4 linked regions of the Drosophila melanogaster genome follow. Each later gene encodes a partner of the first gene's protein in a complex. Each region holds a gene or a part of one and is shown in the gene's direction. Other genes may lie near its edges.

Region 1 (5,814 bases):
CGGACAGTATGGCACCTCGAACTCCAAGGTCTTTGCGGCAGGAGGTCAGTTTTATGTCTACTAAGTAATAGGCTTAGTATTAAGAGTTAATCACATCAATCATTGAATGATTTCTGTATCTTTGCATAACAAAAATGTTAATTTATCTTCTGTCCTTTGCAGATTGCCGGCGTGGCCAGTCGCTGGTCGTCTGGGCCATTACCGAGGGTCGCCAGGCCGCACGACAGGTCGATTCCTATCTGACCGGCCGTCCCAGTGGGCTTCCAGGACCTGGTGGCGTCATCGCGACATCCTAAAGAGGATCCACAGAGGCAGCCAGAGCAGCTAATATCAAGTTTTGTGTGCGTGCATCGTCCTTAGCCTATAGTGCGAAATTCTTTAACGATTTGTGATTTTTATTTTCGCGATTTTAGTTTAGTTTACACTAAAAAGACTTGAGTTTTTTACACACCAAACCAAAACGAAACACGTTTCATTTAGTTTTATTTTGATCGCAAAGCTGGCTGGGAATTGTTAGTGGTTCGTCGAGATGCCCTCCATATGATGATGATGATGATGATGATGATGCGGCAGGAGTCAATTAAGAGTGCAAACTGAAATTCTGATTGAAGCCAATCAATATGTATATCTTAACGGAAATCGAATATCCAACAAAAAATCTAAGGACAATAACTAGAAACTTACCGTTATCGTTAAAATGAAAATTAATTGAACATTAAATATTTAGAAAATGCATTTTTTCAATGTTGTTTTAGCTTGAGTTGCCTAATCTATGCAAACGAAATATATGAAGTGAAAATTGATATGCTGATCTCCACCATCCTATATACAATCCATAAATCGTATATACAGAAAGAGAAATGTATTAAACTCGGCCAATATCGAAACGCATTTTTTAGATGTTGTTTTTGTGTTTTGAACTGCATTCGACCGTTGACCGCAAATGTACCTAAGTGGCTATTGTTAAAACAAATCTGCTCTTTGGCAGTTGAATGTGCGAATACAAAGAATTACACAATTTATACAAAACATATTTAACCCAAATGTATACCCTTATACAGACATCTCTATATAAATATATTTATGTGCAAGTATTTGATGAAATAAATATTCAAATTATTAAAAAGCATTTCTCCGATGAGTTGATATTTGTGTTTTGAATTTGGCATGGGAAATATATTTATTAATAGCTTGAAAAGAGAGGCAACGTCTTTTTGAAATTAAAAACCTTTGTTATATGTATACCTTGTAATTTAAAATTATTGGTATTTTACGTAAAGCGTATAACTTTAAAGGAATGAGAAACCATTGTAATGTAGAAAATATTTAATAATATTTCTTTAAATTCATTGTATGGTAACTTATGTAGTTACCGCTTTATTTAATTACTAAGTACAATATCTTGTTGTTTTATGCCGTAAGCTTGTTACGAGCGGAGCTGAAGTTCCAGTGTGTCCAGTCTGACGATAAGAAGACAGAAGATATCGTCCTCCAGGAAAGGTCTTGGCGTTAGTACCTCTTTTCGCCGTGATGCCAGACCGGGTTTCAGTCTGGGCGCCACAATTGAAATAATAATTTTTTATTGCTATAATAGCCATGCTAAGATAATAGAAATTTTGAAAATTGAGTATTTTTTGAAAGTTGTTTCAATGACTTAATTTTATTTTAAATAAATGCGCCACTTTGAAAGCTTGAAAAAAATACGGCTTCAGGGTCATGGTATTTAATGTCGTGGAAATACCACACTCTGGTAACTCTGAGCGGGCGTCACTCTTTTCGTCTCTGGGCACACTGTCGGCCCTCGCACGCGTATTTTTCTGCCGATTTTGCGTGTAAATTTAATTGTGAAAACATAGTAAAACAGCTGCAATCATGGCCAATTTCGATCTGACACGCATCAATTGCCAGTTTTTGGACAGGCATTTGACCTTCCCGCTGCTGGAGTTCTTGTGCGGCAAGGAGGTTAGAAAAGCGACCAGGCGGTGCTCCGCTGGCGGTTGCCGAGTCACCAGTACATAACTATGGGAAATCTTCATATGTGTGACTTTCGTTGCAGATCTACAACCAGCAGGAGCTGCTGGAGTACATTTTGGAGACGGTGAACAAGACGAACATGATCGATTACACGATGGACACCCGCAAGCGTCTCAATCTCAGCCAGGAGATGCCCGAGGAGCTCGTGCAGCGCAAGGCGGAGGTCCTGGCCACGCTTAAGCAGCTGCAGAACGAGGTGGCACCCATCATGAAGGCCACCGACATTCTTAAGAACGGTGAGAGCATGAAGGACTCGAAGACCTTCGTCAACGCCCTTCAGAAGGACTACAATTTTAAGGTGGAGCACCTGGAGAGCGCCTACAAGCTGGCCAAGTACCTCTACGAGTGCGGCAACTATCAGGAGTCCACCTCTTACCTGTACTTCTGCCTCATCGTCATGTCGCCCAACGACAAGGTGCGTATGGAGCTAAATTAACATGAAAAGCGGCAAAAACCACTAAAACAAGAATATTAATTGATATTGTCTCCCAAATTTTGCAGAACTACCTTAATGTGCTGTGGGGCAAGCTGGCCGCCGAGATTCTGACCCTCAACTGGAACACTGCTCTGGAGGATCTGACGCGTTTGCGCGACTACATTGACAACGCCAACTTCAGCACCATCCAGGCCCTGCAGCAACGCACCTGGCTGATCCACTGGTCGGTCCTGGTCTTCTTCAATCACCCCAAGGGACGCGATCTCATTATTGAGATGTTCCTGTACAAGCCCCTGTATTTGAACGCCATTCAGACAATGTGTCCGCACATCATGCGTTACTTGGCCACCGCCGTAGTCATCAACCGCACCCGCCGCAATGCTCTAAAGGATTTGATCAAGGTGATCCAACAGGAGTCGTACACGTACCGCGATCCCATCACCGAGTTTCTGGAGTGTCTGTACGTGAACTTTGATTTCGAGGGAGCGCGTCTGAAGCTGCACGAGTGCCAGACGGTGATCCTCAACGACTTCTTCATCGTGGCCTGCCTGAATGAGTTCGTGGAGGATGCCCGCTTGATGATCTTCGAGACATTCTGCCGCATCCACCAGTGCATCACCATCAGCATGCTGGCCGATAAGCTGAACATGAAGCCCAACGAGGCTGAGTGCTGGATCGTCAACCTTATCCGCAATGCCCGTCTGAATGCCAAGATCGATTCGAAACTGGGTCATGTGGTGATGGGCACCCAGCCCTTGAGTCCCTATCAGCAGCTGGTGGAGAAGATCGACTCGCTGTCCATGCGGTCGGAGCATTTGGCAGGTTTGATTGAGCGCAAGAGCAAGCAGAAGCAGAATCAGGAGTCGGCCGACTCCTGGAAGTACTACTAGTTGCTGACTTTTTATCCACAATTAAGTTAAGACTCTTTGTACCCTTTAAAAACCGATGATTGCGCGCAGTCGAGCGAATAAATTAACATCTTACTCATTCGCTCAATTCAACATTTGATTTTATTTCCTTCGGAATCAAAATTAGTTATACAAAAAACAATACCAAGGCGGGAATTTGTAATTTCGCTAGCCTACAGAATGCAAACGTCTGCTAATCCTAGAATTAGTTGTTTGTACCTACAAGTGGGTGCTGGATCTTTATGACGATCTGGCCCCGGATCACACTATTGATTGCTACCGCGATTTCTGCTTGACCACCAACCAGGATCTGACGGGCAGGTCCTGCAAGTAAACGATCCATTTGCGCACCAGCAGCAGCCACACTATGCCGTACAGAACGCAAATGCCCGACTCCAAGTAGTACCCATCGAAGGTTATCTCGCACTTGCCAGCCGACGCTTCACAGCTCTGCGGGAGAAAATTAAGAAAAATATTTGTTTAGTTACTTTTATCTCATAACTGGCAAAGTTTATCTTTTCCTGGTTTGGGGTAAAACTTTCACCATACATATGTATCCATATACAATAATAATAATAATCTTGTATGCTGTAGAATCTCTCTCTGAGCACTCACCTGTTGCTCCTCCTTGCCCTGGCAGGTATTTTCCGCATTATTGGAGCACTGCTTCCAGGTGAGCACGTCCACCAACCACAACACCACTGTGTTGGGCCAATTACCGCCCAGATTGCACAATGTGTTCAAAAATGTCATGTAAGTGCCACCGACGGCTGGATCGGAGATCTTGGCGAAAAAGGCCATGGCGGCCACAAACATGGAGTACAGGAATACTTGGTAGATGGCATAACTGGTGATCAGCAGGACGTAGTAATAAGCAGGCACGGCTCCTCCACGGACAATATAGGGTGTGATGTAGGCCAAGCCAGTGGCCACTGTTGCCATGATGATGCGATAGGGAATGGCCTTCAGATAGACGTCCATCGGACGTGGTCCGTTCGTATATCGACCGACCGCCAGCGGCAGAATGAGCTGCAGAGGAATTAGGGGAATGGCGAGTAAAGCCAGCTTATCCTTCGGTACACCAGCGTCAATGAGTTTTAAGCTGGTCACTGCATCAGAGGCTGCGAACGTGACCTTCACGGTGAGCAGAATTACAGCCAGAATTTGGACGGGACGCATGCACACCATGTCCCACAATATCTTGTAGCTCTCATGGATGTTCAACTCGTGCTCCTCCGTGTAGCGAGCGTCCATATGCGCGTCTTCGATGTCGTTCTCCTTCTTGAAAATTGCCACCAAAGTAGTGGCTACCACAAATGTAATGCCCCAGAACCAAAGGAAACGGGGCAATGTGATCATGCCATCCTCGAGTGGCACGTCTCTTATGTAGGTGTTGCAGAAATCCTTGGACTCCAGGGCAATGAACACCACATAGCCCAAGAAGTAGCCAGCTGTTTGGCCCACGCTATTGCAGGTGGATGCGTATCCAACATTGCATCGCTTCAGCATGGTCAAGGCCCAGCCATCCACGGCGATGTCCTGAGTGGCAGCCAGGAAGTTAAGCAGGAAGAAGAGCAGCGTCAGGAGCGGCACATTGGGATCGACACCGTTCCCGCCCAGCCAGCGATCCACGTGGAGGGAGAGGAGTAACATAAAGGCTCCCAGAAGGTATTGCACTGGGACTAGCCACGATTTCCGGCGTCCAAATCGCCGGATGTACAGGGAATCCACAATTGGAGCCCACAGCAGCTTTAAGCTGAATGGCCAGTAGGCGAATGAAAACTCCGCCTGTTGTTTGTAGCTAGCTCCTCTATTTTGCAGCAACATTGGTATGGCTGCTATGAGCCCGATGGGAATGCCCTGTAGAACGTACAGGAACAGCAGTATGGCTATATTCCTCCGGTCTCCACGAATATCTGGTTTCTGGTGCTCCGCCACCTTTTCCGACTTTGGTGGCTCGTCGATGAGCAACTCCTGGTCGGCATTGCTGCCCGTTGGCTTTCTCCTTATGGCGGACATGCTGATCAAATAGCGATAGGTATATATTATAAAGACATGCTAGTTTGGGGGCCACAGGCTCACCTGTTTTTCTAATCACCAACAAATAACACCACGTCACTCAAATGTAGAGCTTTTTACGTATTTTCCCGATACAATTCCCTCGATGCCTTTAATTTGGTTAAATGTACGATCGAATGGCTTTCTGAATATCTGCCAGTTCGGTCTTTAATTAATTCATTTTCCGTTGAATCGGAATATTTTCTTTCGTGGCATATGTTTGTTGACGTTCCAATATATTTTTATAGCAACTCTCTGTCGCACTACGCATGCAGTTGCTATAAACCGCCGCATGGTCACACTAATCATTCGAAATTCAAACTGAGTGGCGGGAGACTTACGAAATGGAAATCCATAATTTTAGGAGTATGAGTTGGT
Region 2 (5,033 bases), on another chromosome or scaffold:
TGAATTTTAACCTCCTAGCTTTTATAGTTCCTGAGATCTGCACATTTATACGGACAGACGGACATGGCCAGATCGACTCGGCTATTGATCTCGATCAAGAATATATATACTTCATATGGTCGGAAACGCTTCCTTCTGCCTGTTACATACTTTTCAAAGAATTTAGTATACCCTTTTACTCTACGAATAACGAGTATAATAATGAAATTTTGCGTTCGCATTTCTACCATCTGTGTAGCGGGTATCTGATAGTCGGGGAAGTCGACTGTAGCAGTCTACCTTTTTTTTTAATATTGTTAAATAGATATTGATAGATACTTATATATAACTTTATCTTCACTACGGCCGGACAAAGTTCATTGGTTTAACAGCACGTACCTTCCCATAATCCATTTATGTTTTCAAATAATTAATTTTAGAAAAATAATTAACTTTTCAGAACTGGTTACTTCAATCGAGTTATTTAATCCACACGCAATGATATGTCGAACGTGACATGTTGGACGTGACAATATTATTTCCATGTATAATGATTCGAGGAAAAGATTCAGACGCTGCAAAAAGTTAATATTCCTGTTTTAAAACCAACAATTTTTGAATTTCTTAATATTTACATGGCAACTAAAGTAATATATAATTTTTAAGAATCGCAGTAAAAGAAAATAATAAAATGTACTTTTAGTATTGTGTGTTTCTTTTATAGTAGATTTATAATCGAAGAGATCGATGGGAAATTTAAAAAAATTACAAAAAATTATATAAATTATTTTAAGTTTTTAGATATCAATCTTACGTCCCATTACTTTATTATTATATCACATTTTGCAACAATTGTTTGACACAAGAGTATGTAACAATGTTAATTCGTTAGATTAAATGTTCATTCAAACTCTTTAATAATAAGGCTTAACTCGGACTCCAAAGCTGTTAATGGTACTAATTTTTATATTTTCCAAAAAGAATATAAAACTATCGCCTTACTAGGTGTACTTTTTCTTAGCGTTACACTTGTCGCTTTCGGAAATAATTTGGAGGCATCTTGATGGAGGTTCAAGTTCACACTTAATTTGTGATTTGTGCTCACGGTCTGCATTCATTAAATCTCTGCTTATGTTTAACATGGTTGCCATTTAAGGAATTTACATTTTTAGTACTTAATAAATAAATTAACATTCTTATCCAGCCCATTTTGCATTTACATTAACCACATATGATTAATTAAAGCTTATGAAATCCGTATAAAAATTTAAATCAACGATTTTTAAGAATAAACTTAAATTTACGTTTTAGAGTAACATAATTTTAGTGGTGTTGTTAGAATCTGCATGCTTAATGCACTCCCTAGATAAGTTCCCGAGATCTCTACATTCATTTAGATAGGCAGACAGATGCACGGTAGGAGGATTTACTTTACAAGACGGGATACGCTTCCTCCTACCTGACACATCCTTTTCTAGCAATCTATCTAGTTTACCCTTATGCTTTACGACCGACAGGTATAAGATGGAAATTGCCGAGGATTGAATAAAATATTCCGTTATCGAGCTAAAACCGTTTTAAGAAGCGGGAGTTTTACAATCGATTCTTCTTGCTTCAAACAAGACCTGCGTGTAAGATCTACGCCGTAGATGGCCGATTTTTATAATGCAATATGTTGGGCTTATAGCAATATGCATATTTGGTTATTCATCGATGAATTTACTTTGCAGGGAATAGTTTTTAAATTAAAAGTCTTGTACATTTTCTAATAAAATATACACTCGACATAAAAGAAGAATTATCACGAATTTGGGTAACAATATTCATTGACGGCTATATAAATATATTTTTTTAAAATATTAAAAATATATAAATTAGTTCCCATGCAAAATGGCCTCATTGGTTTTGCTATGTAAACGTTTTACCAGTCTGATTTGTTTACCACCTTAACTGAGTTTTTAATATAGGGCGCCAATTGAAATTTGTATGAGTATGAAATTAAAGTCATTATGCCGTATGCGAAATATGGGAGGAGCAAGGAACACTGCCATTGATACTTGGTGAGATTCCCATTTCACAAGGTATTGATACACGAAATACCCATGGCTATCCGTAACAAACTCATGCACGTAAATTAAGAGTCGTTTTAACAGACATTTACTAAATTTTAAACTATATACATATATGGTAAAAAGGCAGAATGTTTTTAATTTTTGTTATTATGTTCTTATAGCATACACAACTGTAAAATAATGTATGATGCTTAATTTAAAATTATTTTAAGCTTGTTTTTTCTGTTTACCATTTCAAAATGTTTCTAAATAGGCAAGTTTCTAAATAGCAAGGCAACGAAATAGGTGAGCACATTTTGGCACGTGCCCTTTTAAGTTATATTTACATTTTACAACACTGGATCGAGGGGAGGCACAAGCGCAGCCAAGTTTGCTTTGCTAAGTTTCTTTTCCAACTTAATTTTTTTTGTAACTCATGATGTCTAGGAATTTTAGCATGCGAGCTAAGGTGTATCTAAAGCCGTTGGTGTTTTTCCAAATTATTGACGCATACGATCGCCGACCAAAAGGTGACAATCAGGTAGGTGTGCGCGCATTCATCTCCTGTCCACTAATCTTGTAATGATCAAACCAAAGGTTATGGGCACTTTGCTGGGTCGCAACAAGGAGGGCCACATCGAGATCACAAACTGTTTTACTGTGCCGCACAAGGAGCATTCGGAGAACAAACGCATTGATCTGGATATGGCATATGCCTCCGAGGTCCTAGAGCTAAATATGTTCGCCTATCCGAACGAGCGTGTGCTGGGCTGGTTCTGCACTGGGAAATCGGTGTCCCGCTCCGCGTCCCTGATCCACGACTATTATGTCAGAGAATGCTGCGAAGGACAGCCACTGCACCTGCTAGTGGATGCAGCCCTGAAGAACCAGCGACTCTCGACCCGACTGTACTGTGCTGTGGAGATGGGAGTGCCTGGTGGCACCAAAGGACTGATGTTCTCATTAGTTCCACTGGAGATTAGCAACGAAAATTCCGATTTGGTGGCTCTGCGTTGCATAGAAAAGCAATCGCAGCAACAGGCAAGCAAGCAAATGGAGCGCTTCGTCCCAGAGTTGGCTCAAGTGGTGGATGCCACTAGGGATATGCAACATCGCCTTGACTTGGTGCTGCGCTACATCAACGATGTCTTGGCCAGGAAGAAAAAACCTGACAACGTAGTCGGGAGATCCCTTTACGCCGCTCTCACTGCCGTGCCGCTTTTGGACTCGGACAAATTTCGCGTCATGTTTAATACTAACTTGAGGGATATGCTCATGGCCATCACTCTTTCCACAATGATAAAAACACAGCTGGAGATCAGCGAGAAACTGTCTTGCATGCAGGATCAGTGAACAATGACAAAAAACTGACTGAATTGACTGAATCAATCACTTAATTGTTATTTTGGGTGCCTTTTGCTATTTACACCACCTAATAAATTGAACTTTCATTAAAAGGAGGATGTAGGTCACACTAAAGCAAGCCTTCGGTAGAAATTATTAAATTAGTATCGGCTCCTGAACTTTGGAGTCTAGAAACATCGCATCCAGCGATTAAGATCATTATAAGCTCGTGCCGAAAACAAATGATTTTCGTTAAGGCTTCCCCCGTTCTACACAGTTGCGTTGCCCGAAAACCTTATAGGCAACGCTTGATCGGCATTCTTTTCCAGCATCCCGATCTTAGTCCCTTTGGTAAGTGATTTTCAGAGAAAGCGAGTCATTTCGCCAACTCCTTTGGCCGTTTAAGCACCAAAAAGTTTGCGGTAAATACAACAACAGTGCTGGGAAACCCGCGGCGGAATGATGATCTCTACGGACGGTGATAAGGTCCAGTACAGATCTATTTCGGTCTGTTCAAATCTCGACGAAGAGGGCACGGCGGAGGATGGTAGTGGAAAGGTGGTGGGGGTGTCGGGGATGTGGACCACCCAAATAATGCCGAGATAATAACGCCTTATCGCGGTTCAGGGACAGTCGGCGGATGTCCACCGGGGCAATCAATTAGCTGGAACGAACTGAAAATTAGCAAACGTTGACGTTGACCGTCGATAGTAGCCCTACGACACCCCTCTCCTCAGACGAATCTCCCGTTGTCTCTCTGCGCCCCCACCCCTCAGACGAACCGACGCCTCCGCCGCCTCTGACTTATCGCTCAAGCCAAGGGCTATCGGTGTGCCCCGGTCGCCTTTCCTGATAGACATCGCTGCTCTGAGGAGTGGATTAGATGCGGATCCACACCCTCAGACGTCCAGCGACCGGCGATCCGAGCAGACGCACGAAGTATTAAGCCTGTGGTAAAACCGTAATGAGATCCGATTTCAAAATGAAAACCCAAGTAGACTGAGCTAAGACTACAACGCAAGGAAAACAACTATGCCAATCGTCCGTATAGATCGGGGCTTCCTTGATTGAACTCACAGTGTAAACCGCGATCGTCCGTCCGGATTTCGGCAACTAAGTATTATGCTCTCGCTGCTGCCGCACCACCCGCTCGTCTGCCGCTGCTGCCTGCTGGAGCAGCCGCCGCTCTACCACAGTCTCTATGACGCCTCTAGCCAGCTGGCGGTGGAGCTGAAGGCCCTGGCTCCCGCCCTGCGCCTTGAGCACGGCGACAACCTCACCGATGTGATATGCGACCTGTGCCTTCGTCGCCTGCACGACGCCCGCGACTTCCAGCGGCGGTGCGAGCACTCCGAACAGGTGCTACGCATGCGGCACGAGCACTGGAAGCACACGGTGGCCGTGGGAGACGCCTTGGCCCTGGACGATGTGCTTGAGTGCCTGGAGCGAGAAGTGGGCAGCCTGGAGGGACCGATGTCTGTGCCTCTGCAAGCAAGTAAGCCGGTGGCCCATGTGGCGCCCTTAATGGAGACCGTTGATTTTGGTAAGTTATCACGCACGGGGCGAACACATTGGTTTAAAAGCCAAGGCCGGTCAAAGAACCAAGGATTAGGTCATAAAAGAAAATTTATTATAAAATATGACACATGCTGATAGCAC
Region 3 (5,534 bases), on another chromosome or scaffold:
AATAAATAACTATTCTGCCTCAATTTCGTCAATTAGCGCCCGGCACTTTCTCTTCAATACCTTGACCGCCTCCAGGAAGATGACATCGGGCTTCAGTGCGCCGACTGATTCCACGGAGAAAATGTAGTGATCTCGGATACGGGCCAAAGTCACAGCGTCGTTTAGCTGGGGATAGCGATACACATTTCGGCTGCACGTGTCGTAGCGTGCATCCTTTACATAGGCAGTTTCATTCTCGTCAATGCCAATTACTCCTGGTGAGAAACAGTTCTGTAATAGGTACGCATCCTTACCGGTCACCTCGCGGTTCAGCTTAATCATGGGCAGCAGTCGGTAGGTGGCCGTGGCCACCGGCGAGAATTTCGCGTGATCCCGTCCAAGTCCCTTAACCGCCACCAGGCGCAGATCCAACTCGTGACCCGGACGCAATTGGGCAATCAGTATGTCATCGTGAATGCAGTTCACAGCACTCTCGCTGTATATCTGCGCCTGCTTTCCTTTGGGCAGCCACTTCAGATGACCCGAGTACACTTTGTGGTTTTTGTAAATGTCATCGAAGTTGGACTGATCTTTTCCAGCATCCCGTCGCCGCGAGCACTTCACCTTCAGCTCAAATTCAAGCGTATCCTGCTCGGTCCCCGCCTCAGTGCTTTCCTCGGTGCGGTATGCGAATAGACGGGGATCAGCCCGCAACGGAAGTAGACCCATTCGATGGGCAAGTACCTCGTCCTGGATGATCGAGGTGTTGTTGTATATGTACACCTTTTCGATGGCCATGCTGGGCACATCGCTGAGCATCAGGCGACGGAAGGCATTTGCAATGGCGGGATACACGCCAATCAGATCGAACTCCAGGCCGTCTTCGTCGTTTCTAGAAGTGAACACCAATTGTTAATCGACTCGTAAGATTCTAATTTCTATTGAGATTTACCTGACGATTTTGATGTGCAGCTTTTCCTTGAAAGCCTGAACGGAAAATACATCGTCCGCCAGTCCATAGTCCTGCGGATCCTGCTTCACCCGATACTCCTCCATGTACAGAAGCGGCTCCTTGCGATTTTTGCTTGCCATTTGCCCCGGTGTTTTTATTAAATAATTTAACAAAATTGAACCGCACGTGTTGGAATCAATAAGACCGCCTTCTAATACCAAAATATACCAAACTAACTAACAAACTAACTAATATACTAAATAAATATACTTTATGTACTAAATAAATGCTGTTTCGCCGTGACTGGCTGAATAGGAAGAAGCAGCAGGACACCGGCGATATTTTTATTTCTCCAGAAGATTTACGTAAAGCCTTCAAATTTCTGAAACCGGGCGTAAGATGTCCCGCTCCCTGCAACGCTTAGTGGGCAGCTGTCGTCGCTGGGCACAACAGCCCGCAATTCGTCATTATGCCGCTCCCGCAGATTCCACTAAAGGCAAGGGTCCGATCTCTTGGAGAAGTCTGGCCGTCATTGGAGCCCTTGGAGCCGGAGGAGTGGGCTTCATGCTGTACGTGAAGAGCGAGAAGGATGAGGCGAGAATGAAGGAGCGTCAGCGGCAATTGGGAAAAGCAGCCATCGGCGGCAGTTGGGAATTAGTTGATTCGCAGGGAGCTGTTCGCAAATCGGAGGACTTCTTAGGCAAGTGGCTGCTCATCTATTTTGGCTTCACCCACTGCCCGGATATTTGTCCCGATGAGCTAGAGAAGATGGCCGCCGTCGTCGATGAAGTTGGTAAGTAGAGCCTGACTATTTCTTCCAAACCCAAAAAAAACCATGTTTCTCAAACCTTCACAGAAAAGTCCCCGCAAACGCCAGCAGTGCAGCCCATCTTTATCACCGTTGACCCAGAACGTGACTCCAAAGAGGTGGTGGCCAAATACGTAAAAGAGTTCTCCCCCAAACTGCTGGGACTCACGGGAACCGTCGAACAAATCCGCAAAGTGTGCAAGGCCTTCAGGGTTTATTTCAGCGCTGGACCGCGGGACGAGGACAACGATTATATTGTGGATCACACCATCATCATGTACCTGGTCAATCCCGATGGCGAGTTTGTCGATTACTACGGCCAAAATCGGGACAAGGACCAGTGTGTGGCATCCATTTTGGTGAACATAGCCAAGTGGAATTCAATGAACAAAAAGGGATGGTTCAGCTAGGCTGGCTAAGCTAGGCAAATGTTGTTTCGTTGTATTTACTTAATGTATGGCATAAAATATGGTTTTTACTTGATGTATATCAAGTTTTAAATCCAAATTTTCGTTTATATTGGCTATACCTTAAGTTCTAGATTGTAAAAATTTCTGGTTGTTCAAAATAAACTTGATTAACGGTATTTTTTAGATCCCCCTGGTATATCGAAGTGAGATTTTGACTAGGCCACGGTCACACTGCTCTTTTGGCGTGTAGTGCTGCGTGGATGTTGTTGCAAAAATATTCGTTTTCTCGCAACAAATAACAATATAATACAAAATGGTGCGTGCCTGGTCAATGACTACACAGTTTGCATTATTCCGGATGGGTTTCTTTAGAATTTACCCGAAATTACAACTATTTGCAAAGTGTGAAAGTCGTGTGAAATTCCGGACCAAACATAACCTTAAAAGCGGCCTAAATTGTTGCTAAAAATTCGTATTATTCTGTCTTTTATAGCGTCCGTTGATGCTTCAGGGCCACGAGCGTTCCATAACGCAAATCAAGTACAACCGCGAGGGCGACCTGCTCTTCTCCTGCTCCAAGGATCAGAAGCCCAATGTGTGGTACTCGCTGAACGGAGAACGTTTGGGCACCTACGATGGTCACCAGGGTGCGGTCTGGTGCCTGGATGTGGACTGGGAGAGCCGTAAGCTCATCACCGGCGCCGGTGATATGACCGCTAAGATCTGGGACGTCGAGTACGGCACCGTTATCGCCTCCATTCCGACCAAGTCATCGGTGCGCACCAGCAACTTCAGCTTCTCGGGCAACCAGGCAGCCTACTCAACGGACAAAGCGATGGGACAGAGCTGTGAACTGTTCCTCATCGATGTCCGCAACGCCGATTCCTCGTTGTCGGAGCAGGAGCCCACACTCCGCATCCCGATGACCGAGTCCAAAATTACGTCGATGTTGTGGGGTCCTCTGGATGAGACCATCATCACAGGTTGGTGTTTACCCGATAATCTATTATGAAAACCGTTTAAAACCCGTATTTCCAGGTCACGATAATGGCAACATTGCCATCTGGGACATCCGTAAGGGTCAAAAGGTGGTTGACTCTGGCACGGATCACAGCGCTGGCATCAACGACATGCAGTTGAGCAAGGATGGCACCATGTTTGTGACCGCCTCCAAGGACACCACCGCCAAATTGTTCGATTCGGAGTCCCTGATGTGCCTCAAGACCTACAAAACGGAGCGTCCAGTAAACTCGGCGGCCATCAGCCCAATCATGGATCATGTCGTGCTGGGCGGCGGTCAAGATGCCATGGAGGTGACCACTACGTCTACGAAGGCTGGCAAGTTTGACTCGCGCTTCTTCCACCTGATATACGAGGAGGAGTTCGCCCGACTCAAGGGCCATTTCGGACCCATCAACAGTTTGGCCTTCCATCCGGACGGCAAGAGTTACGCCTCGGGCGGAGAAGATGGTTTCGTGCGTGTCCAGACATTCGATAGTACATACTTTGAGAACATCTTCGAGTAGTTTGTATCCAGTAGTGATTTAGTAGGATCAGAGCCGGTGGACTTAACATAACCATTTCACCGGCGACATGTTCGTTTGCTTAGGGAACTTTCAAATATACGCGAGGACGAAACGAAACGGATCGCGTCGTTTATTTTTATAACATCAAAGGAGTGGAAAGAGGTACAACATGATTATATTCGAGTAAATGGTGTGCCATGTGTAACCTAAAAAAAGGAACGCTTTTTTTGCTTGAGAACCACAGGCTGACCCTGCATGGCCGCCCACTGAGCCGGTGTGGGCAGGCAGCCCGGCGGAGGAGGCGGAATGACGACATTTCCGTTGGAATTTGTCCTCACCTCGGCCCGTGAGTCCAAGTGGAGGACCTGTGCTGCAGCTGCTCCTGCCGACGTACTGGGACCAGCAAGTCCGAAGCCACTGCCATGTGTCATACCGTAGTTGGGCTGCCCGCTGAAGGGCATCTGCTGTTGCTGGTGGCTGATCATGCCGTAATACTGATTCTGGCTGGGCGGAGCACCTCCTCCTTGTGGATAGCCATAGGCACCAGCACCGGTGCCGCCGTTTCGCTGGCTTTCTTCATACGTTGGCGGAGGAGCTCGCTAGAAGTCGCAAAACTTTAGATGGCGACTGGTATTTGATAATCAAATTAACTTATTACCATGGCCATGTCATCGCCGGAATGGCGATAGTCGTAAGCGGGAGCACTTCCCTCGCTTGGTGGACCTGCTTTTGATGGCTTCGACATCTTATCTCGTCTGTAATTTGAAGTTGCACTTTGTTTACTTGCAGTTTCTCTGAGTCACAAACAGGGTTGTCAGCTCATCGAGATTAGTGATGTCGTAAAGTTTTCCCGTCAGATCTGGATTTATTCGAAATTTATTTTCTGCACGCGAATTGCTATTTTATTTCTTTGGCGTTTTAAAATAAATAAAAAATGGGAATAATATGTCCCTCACAATTTATTAGTAAATTTTTGAGTTGTGCTATTAGGACGCCAGTTATTGAAACACACGCTTTTACAAATAATTCAAAATCAGATTTAAAGATGTTCTATGGTAAAATATACATGTTTGGGTCACCTTTTTCGAAATTCAAAGTGAAGTCTACAAAAAAATATGTATTGAGTTACTTTTTGTAAATCGATGTTGTCAAGTTCCAAAAATAATTAATTTTTGAATTTCTACCAAAGTATTTGATATGGATGTCTAGAAAGGAAGCCCACTGCTGGTTCCTGGCTTTTTCGTGGCGATCCTCACCGACATGGGCGACTCGCAACTGGGCTGCTTATATTGCCGCCTTTTTATCAGGTCTCTTTGAATGGAGCTTCCCAGGCTGCGAATGGGCACCGCTGTAATCCCATCGATCAGATTCTCCCGGGCGTGCTGGAGCGTGCTATCGATCAGCTGCTCCACGGCTATGGCTCGAGGATCCACCATCGGTTCACGCTCCAGCACGTCCACAATCATGCGCAGGGTCTCGTCCGCCTGGAACTCCTCCAGCGGCAGCACCTCAATCAGCTCTTTGAACATGTGAGCGACGATGAAGTGGGTGCGGTTCACAACCTCGGAGTCGCCCATATGGACATGAGCGCACAGCGAGTCCTTGGCGTGATCGAAAATTCCGGATATCAGCTCCTCGGTGTTCACATCAGAGCGTTCGTAGTCGAACACAGCCACCACCTCGTTGAATAGCTTGCGAAGCTCCTCGTTGCTGATGTGGATGAAGTACTTCTTCGGCACAAACGTCTGCAGATGCTCCGTTATGCACTCGGCTATGCGATCCGTGTACCGACCCTAAAATATAACCTTTGGTAAGATTGAGTAAACTAATTGCTTTTAGATCTAATCACCTGGAAACTG
Region 4 (4,898 bases), on another chromosome or scaffold:
ATTCAGACACTGTACGTTCACCGTTTGCCGGATCTCTTTAAGGCACATCCATATTTGGAGGACATTTAAAGGACAGCAGCGCGACAGCCATTAACCTGCACGGCCAACAAAAAGTAATTTCACTTTTAAATGAAAAAGTTCAAAGTGCGTTTGTTTATGCCAAACACACACTCTCGCACACAAATACAGAAAACCCACATGAGACGCTGGCCATAAAAACAAATGCCAAATGATTTTTGTTGCTGGTTTTCTGTATGCGATCCACTCCCCTATGACAAAAATTAGACGCTGGCCAGCAATTGTAATCGTAACTTTTTATTATGATACGTTAGCATTTGCAATCGAAATTGAATTGGAGTGGGACTCGGTTCAGAAAAAAGAAAAATATGCTTGAACAATTTGCGTGTTTTTTTCTATACGCAACGATTCTTTAACAATGTATGCTATTCCTGATATATGAACCGAATTTAAAATATGTTCTTATTTGAGCAATCAAAAGCAAACTTATATATATGCAGAAAGGATGTTGATTTAAGCCAGTATCTTGCATCGAAGTGAAGGAGTCAGCTACGAACATGTAAAGTATATATATTATTGATCAATGTTAAATGTTCTTCTATCCACAAAATAATCTCTCAGTGTTAAAGTTATCCGCATGAAACTTTCCCATTGCAAAAAGTATAAAAGTCGGTACGGACCATATAATACATAAATGATTGCTGAAGGAATATGCGGAGCACTAGAAAGTATAGAAAATAAATCATAATTTCTTAGTTCATAAAAGGTTTTAATTCGGTATACATTAGGTATTTTTCAATAAGCTTTCAGTCAATAATTCCCAGCACTCGAGCCTTGCTGAGAAAATCTGTGCGCTGCACATAGGAACCGGACATGGTACGACTTCCTGTGTATGCCTCTCGACCATGGAGCACTCTCCAGTTATCGAAAAGAACAATGCTGCCGGGACATAGCTTGAGAGCCCACTGCTGTTGCTTATCCCTGACGATTAGCAAAAGCTGGCGAAGACTGTCATAGAACTCGGCCATTTCGGCTTGAGGGATGGTATTAAACACGGCGCGATCATATACATTTAGTCTGAGTTGAACAAATTCCTGAGTCAGTGGATCCACCTGTATAATGGGGGCAGTGTGGTAGTGGTGCTCCCCTTTTTCGATGTACTCTCCAGGAACTTGGACACTGCACAGTACATCATAAGCGGCGGGATACCGGCGTTTCAGTTCGTGAACCACATGCAGACCATCAACAAAGAAATTTTCGCCACCCGATCCCGAGTGCTCAATGCAATGTAGAGCCTGTAGTCCGGCTGCATCGCAGAAATAGGTATTATCCGTATGGGAACCCAGGTAAAGTTTGGTATAAGCGGTGTCCGCGTGATCGGGGTTATCGCTAAAAGTCCACATTTCGCCAAAGAACGTTTTCATAAGGGGGAAAACTCGTCGCAGAGCCAATTCTGTCATATTCGCGGTGGGAGCCACATCATCGATAAAGACAATGCCATAACGCACCAGAGATTCAACCAGGGATCTGACTTCGTTATCACTGGAAACCAGCTGGGGCAATGGGAATCGTAAGTGCCGTTCGTTTTGCAAGATAATGCTACGATTCCATGGTGTCAGATTAGTGGACTTTGATCGCCGACCTATCAACCTCTCCAGCTGTGAGTCGAAGATAAAGTCCAGGTCATAGTTCGACTTGTGAGCATCACTCCCTAAAATGGCAGGCCAATAAAATCGAAGCTAGGTGCATTTTACATCAATTTTTTCTTACACTGCACTTGTAGATTCATCCCGTCGTATTTGACATCTAGTGGCATTATATCAGCTGGTAGATCTAAGACATCGTATCGCCTCTGATTTGTTTCGAAATTTAGACACTCCACACATCGACAATGATCACGGAGCCAAAACTCATTGATTTCTATTGATTGGCTGGTTTTCGGGTGCTTCAAAAGCAACATGTTAATGCCAATAGAACAACCGACGGACTAGAGCAGTGAAAGTGAACTAACAGCTCAAAGTTTGATTAAGTTTCAGCTCGGTTTTAATTGTACTGTTATCAGTAGGAGAGCGATTACTTTCATGCTCAAGTCAGAGATAAGAACTTATTTGTTTACGGAATAACTATAAGATTAATAAATTTATTGAATTTAAAGACAATATGTAATTATTAAGAACAACTCATGAAAGTAAAAAAATTTATAATTTAATCAAGATTGATTGAATGGTATGTTTTTGTTGCAAAGTTATCTTAGTGAATTGCTACTCAAGTTGTTGTATTTTTTATTAAAAAATCATTACTTTAAAGAAAATATAAATATTAATTTCAAATATCTTTTATTGAAAGGGATTTTTTCCCATCTCAACAGGCCAAGTAAAATTCAAATGGAAAAACTCTCTCTAAAACTAGAGATCTCTAAGTTTTTAATTCATTTTGTACCGGTTGTGTGGGAAATCATAAAAAATGAAGACTTTCGTTACTTCCTGGGCCGATGAGGTGGATGCGGACTATGTGGATGGACTGCCGCCTTCTAATGAGTACATTAAGGGCGACTTCAAGTACGTGACGGAGTATAAGTTCAACGATGATGGCAAGAAGGTGAAAGTGGTGCGAACCTTCAAGATCGAGAAGCAGATTGTTCCGAAGGCTGTGGCTCGTCGTCGCAACTGGGTTAAGTTTGGGGATTCGCGATCGGACAAGCCCGGACCCAATTCCCAGACGACAATGGCCTCCGAGGAGATCTTTATGCAATTCATCGGCTCCAAAGATTTCGACCAGACCCACGAAACCCAACTTGATCCCGGCAAGAACATCGCCAAGTGCCGCATTTGCAATGGCGAACACTGGAGTGTCAATTGTCCCTACAAGGGCACCTCGATGGATAGCAAAACCGTGATGGAAACCAAGGCCAATGCCGCTGCAGCTGCCGCTATAAGTGATCCCAGCAAGACCGGAAAATATGTACCACCCTTCATGAAGGACGGCGGAGGCATATCTGGCAGCAAAAATTGGGGACGGGGTCGGGATCGGGACGATTCGTCGGCAGTTCGCATCTCAAACCTATCCGAATCCATGACCGAGACTGATCTCGAGGAGCTGGTAAAGAAAATCGGACCACACACCAAGATGTATTTGGCGCGCGAAAAAAACAGCGGCCTCTGCAAGGGATTCGCCTACGTGCACTTCAAGTTCCGCCAGGATGCAGCTGCCGCCATTGAGGTTCTTAATGGCCACGGCTACGACCACTTGATCCTCTGCGTCGAGTGGTCCAAGCCTCAGCCGTAATGGCTATAGCCTTGTGTATTCGCTTCTCTGCTTATTCGAGAACGGAAATGAGCTGCGGTGGCAGTGAAATCAAAATAAAATTCTGGTACACCCTGCAAAATATGCGACCACTTTTATTTTTAATTTGCACACATTCGATAATTACAGAGAATATATTAATAATAATATAAAATCTATTTATTAATGTTTCGTAGTAGATTTTTTCATCTTTCAGTTGAGCAAAGGATATGAATTGAGATAGATATGAAAATTGTTAAAAACAGTCTGGTTCATTTGGGACCACTCAATTTTCGAGTTGATATACCCTTGGACATCCAAGGTGGATGCTTTTTTTAAGTGCATAAAAGAGAAAGCTCGCCTTGAGCGAACTAAAGCCGATAATGCTCCGTTTTAAATGCGATTTTTTCGCCGTGCTCCGCAGCCGTACAAAGGTGAAAGCCACTTAAATGGAAGCCAACGTGGTGCCGGATGATGATGGCACGGCGTTCCCGGCAAGAGCTGAGAAATGCCACAAGACGCTGGCCGGACCGAATGAACATTAATAATTAAATATAAGAGCGGACTTATGCGCACGATACTTGGAGCGGAGCCCCTCAGAACGGGACGCCAACTACGCGACCATGACGTTGAACCGGGAATGAGTGGTCGGTGGATAGTGTTCGCGGGAAAGTCCCGGCTTAGATACACATTTTGAATGAGGGGCGGATCAAAGCCAGGCACAAAAGAAATTTATTTCCATTGTTGTTGCTGTTGCGGTGGTATGGGATGGGTAGCAGCTAAAGCAGAGTCTAAAACAAATTACTGAATAATTTATAAATTAACTTTTTCTGCGGCGCGCTCATTCGTTCGTCCCCGGCCTTTGTTTGAGCGGCAGAATGAATAGGTGGAAGGCGAATGAATGGGTGGCCAGGTGGGCGGCTTGACAGGTTAGTTAGCATTGTGGGGGGGGGGGGGGGTAGTTGGGGGTATGAGGCGCCCTGGTAAGGAGAACGCCCTCGGCCACGCATTTCTTTTTCAGTTTGCACCTTCAGGTCATGTGCGCTCACCGCACGCACACTCACTCACTCTTCCAGAGAAAAACAAACAGAAGATTAAAAGTCAAATGTTAAATAAGAAATACCCAGTAGTTGGAGTTAAAGTGGTATTTAAAGTAAGCAAACTCATTCCAATAACGGATATTTACAAACTTTTTTAAAAGAATCCATGTTCCTATTCAACTTTTTAATTTTTAAGTTTTACCTGTCGTAACTTCTAACAAAACACATTTGAATAGAGGCTAAATAATGTATAAAATTTAGCATAAATAATTTTAATTAGAATAAGAATTAAATAATCCAGAAAGCTATCCCATTAAGTATACGCACACAGCACATTATGTATTTTGAAATATTCTTCATACGCCCTGTGCACTACAGTGCAGTTCACCCCATCTCCCCCATTGTACAGGGTACCGCAGAAACAGGCCATCGACTCGACGGCGTTGAAACTCTCGGGGGCATTTGAATATTCAAATATGCCATTTGCTGGCGTTTCGTGGCCGATCTCCTTCGCGGTCTCTGTTGCGCTTTAAGTGTAGACTGTTATTTACTGTTTTA

What was found.
Region 2: eIF3e (region 1) and eIF3f2 share a complex: the UniProt entries of both Drosophila melanogaster proteins name them as parts of the eukaryotic translation initiation factor 3 (eIF-3) complex.
Region 3: eIF3e (region 1) and eIF3i share a complex: the UniProt entries of both Drosophila melanogaster proteins name them as parts of the eukaryotic translation initiation factor 3 (eIF-3) complex.
Region 4: eIF3e (region 1) and eIF3g2 share a complex: the UniProt entries of both Drosophila melanogaster proteins name them as parts of the eukaryotic translation initiation factor 3 (eIF-3) complex.

Annotation. Positions count from the first base shown.
Region 1 is NT_037436.4:16,782,892-16,788,705, reverse strand, and holds eIF3e (eukaryotic translation initiation factor 3 subunit e), read left to right. Parts: upstream 1-1,764; 5' UTR 1,765-1,872; coding exon 1,873-1,962; intron 1,963-2,056; coding exon 2,057-2,449; intron 2,450-2,535; coding exon 2,536-3,360; 3' UTR 3,361-3,464; downstream 3,465-5,814. Other genes in the region: CG9674 (uncharacterized protein), read left to right, coding at 1-44, 163-296; CG9706 (uncharacterized protein), read right to left, coding at 3,655-3,828, 3,994-5,397. UniProt on the Drosophila melanogaster protein: Component of the eukaryotic translation initiation factor 3 (eIF-3) complex, which is involved in protein synthesis of a specialized repertoire of mRNAs and, together with other initiation factors, stimulates binding of mRNA and methionyl-tRNAi to the 40S ribosome.
Region 2 is NT_033778.4:6,198,451-6,203,483, forward strand, and holds eIF3f2 (eukaryotic translation initiation factor 3 subunit f2), read left to right. Parts: upstream 1-2,402; 5' UTR 2,403-2,466; coding exon 2,467-2,571; intron 2,572-2,627; coding exon 2,628-3,383; 3' UTR 3,384-3,506; downstream 3,507-5,033. Other genes in the region: CG30431 (uncharacterized protein), read left to right, coding at 4,497-4,917. UniProt on the Drosophila melanogaster protein: Component of the eukaryotic translation initiation factor 3 (eIF-3) complex, which is involved in protein synthesis of a specialized repertoire of mRNAs and, together with other initiation factors, stimulates binding of mRNA and methionyl-tRNAi to the 40S ribosome.
Region 3 is NT_033779.5:4,964,622-4,970,155, reverse strand, and holds eIF3i (eukaryotic translation initiation factor 3 subunit i), read left to right. Parts: upstream 1-2,380; 5' UTR 2,381-2,462; coding exon 2,463-2,465; intron 2,466-2,642; coding exon 2,643-3,132; intron 3,133-3,187; coding exon 3,188-3,675; 3' UTR 3,676-3,789; downstream 3,790-5,534. Other genes in the region: Polr1C (RNA polymerase I and III subunit C), read right to left, coding at 10-871, 932-1,071; Scox (synthesis of cytochrome c oxidase), read left to right, coding at 1,331-1,724, 1,788-2,149; CG34125 (uncharacterized protein), read right to left, coding at 3,882-4,274, 4,334-4,420; CG34124 (uncharacterized protein), read right to left, coding at 4,881-5,468, 5,525-5,534. UniProt on the Drosophila melanogaster protein: Component of the eukaryotic translation initiation factor 3 (eIF-3) complex, which is involved in protein synthesis of a specialized repertoire of mRNAs and, together with other initiation factors, stimulates binding of mRNA and methionyl-tRNAi to the 40S ribosome.
Region 4 is NT_033777.3:20,405,846-20,410,743, forward strand, and holds eIF3g2 (eukaryotic translation initiation factor 3 subunit g2), read left to right. Parts: upstream 1-2,419; 5' UTR 2,420-2,481; coding exon 2,482-3,303; 3' UTR 3,304-3,398; downstream 3,399-4,898. Other genes in the region: Tmlh (trimethyllysine hydroxylase), read right to left, coding at 825-1,729, 1,789-1,978. UniProt on the Drosophila melanogaster protein: RNA-binding component of the eukaryotic translation initiation factor 3 (eIF-3) complex, which is involved in protein synthesis of a specialized repertoire of mRNAs and, together with other initiation factors, stimulates binding of mRNA and methionyl-tRNAi to the 40S ribosome.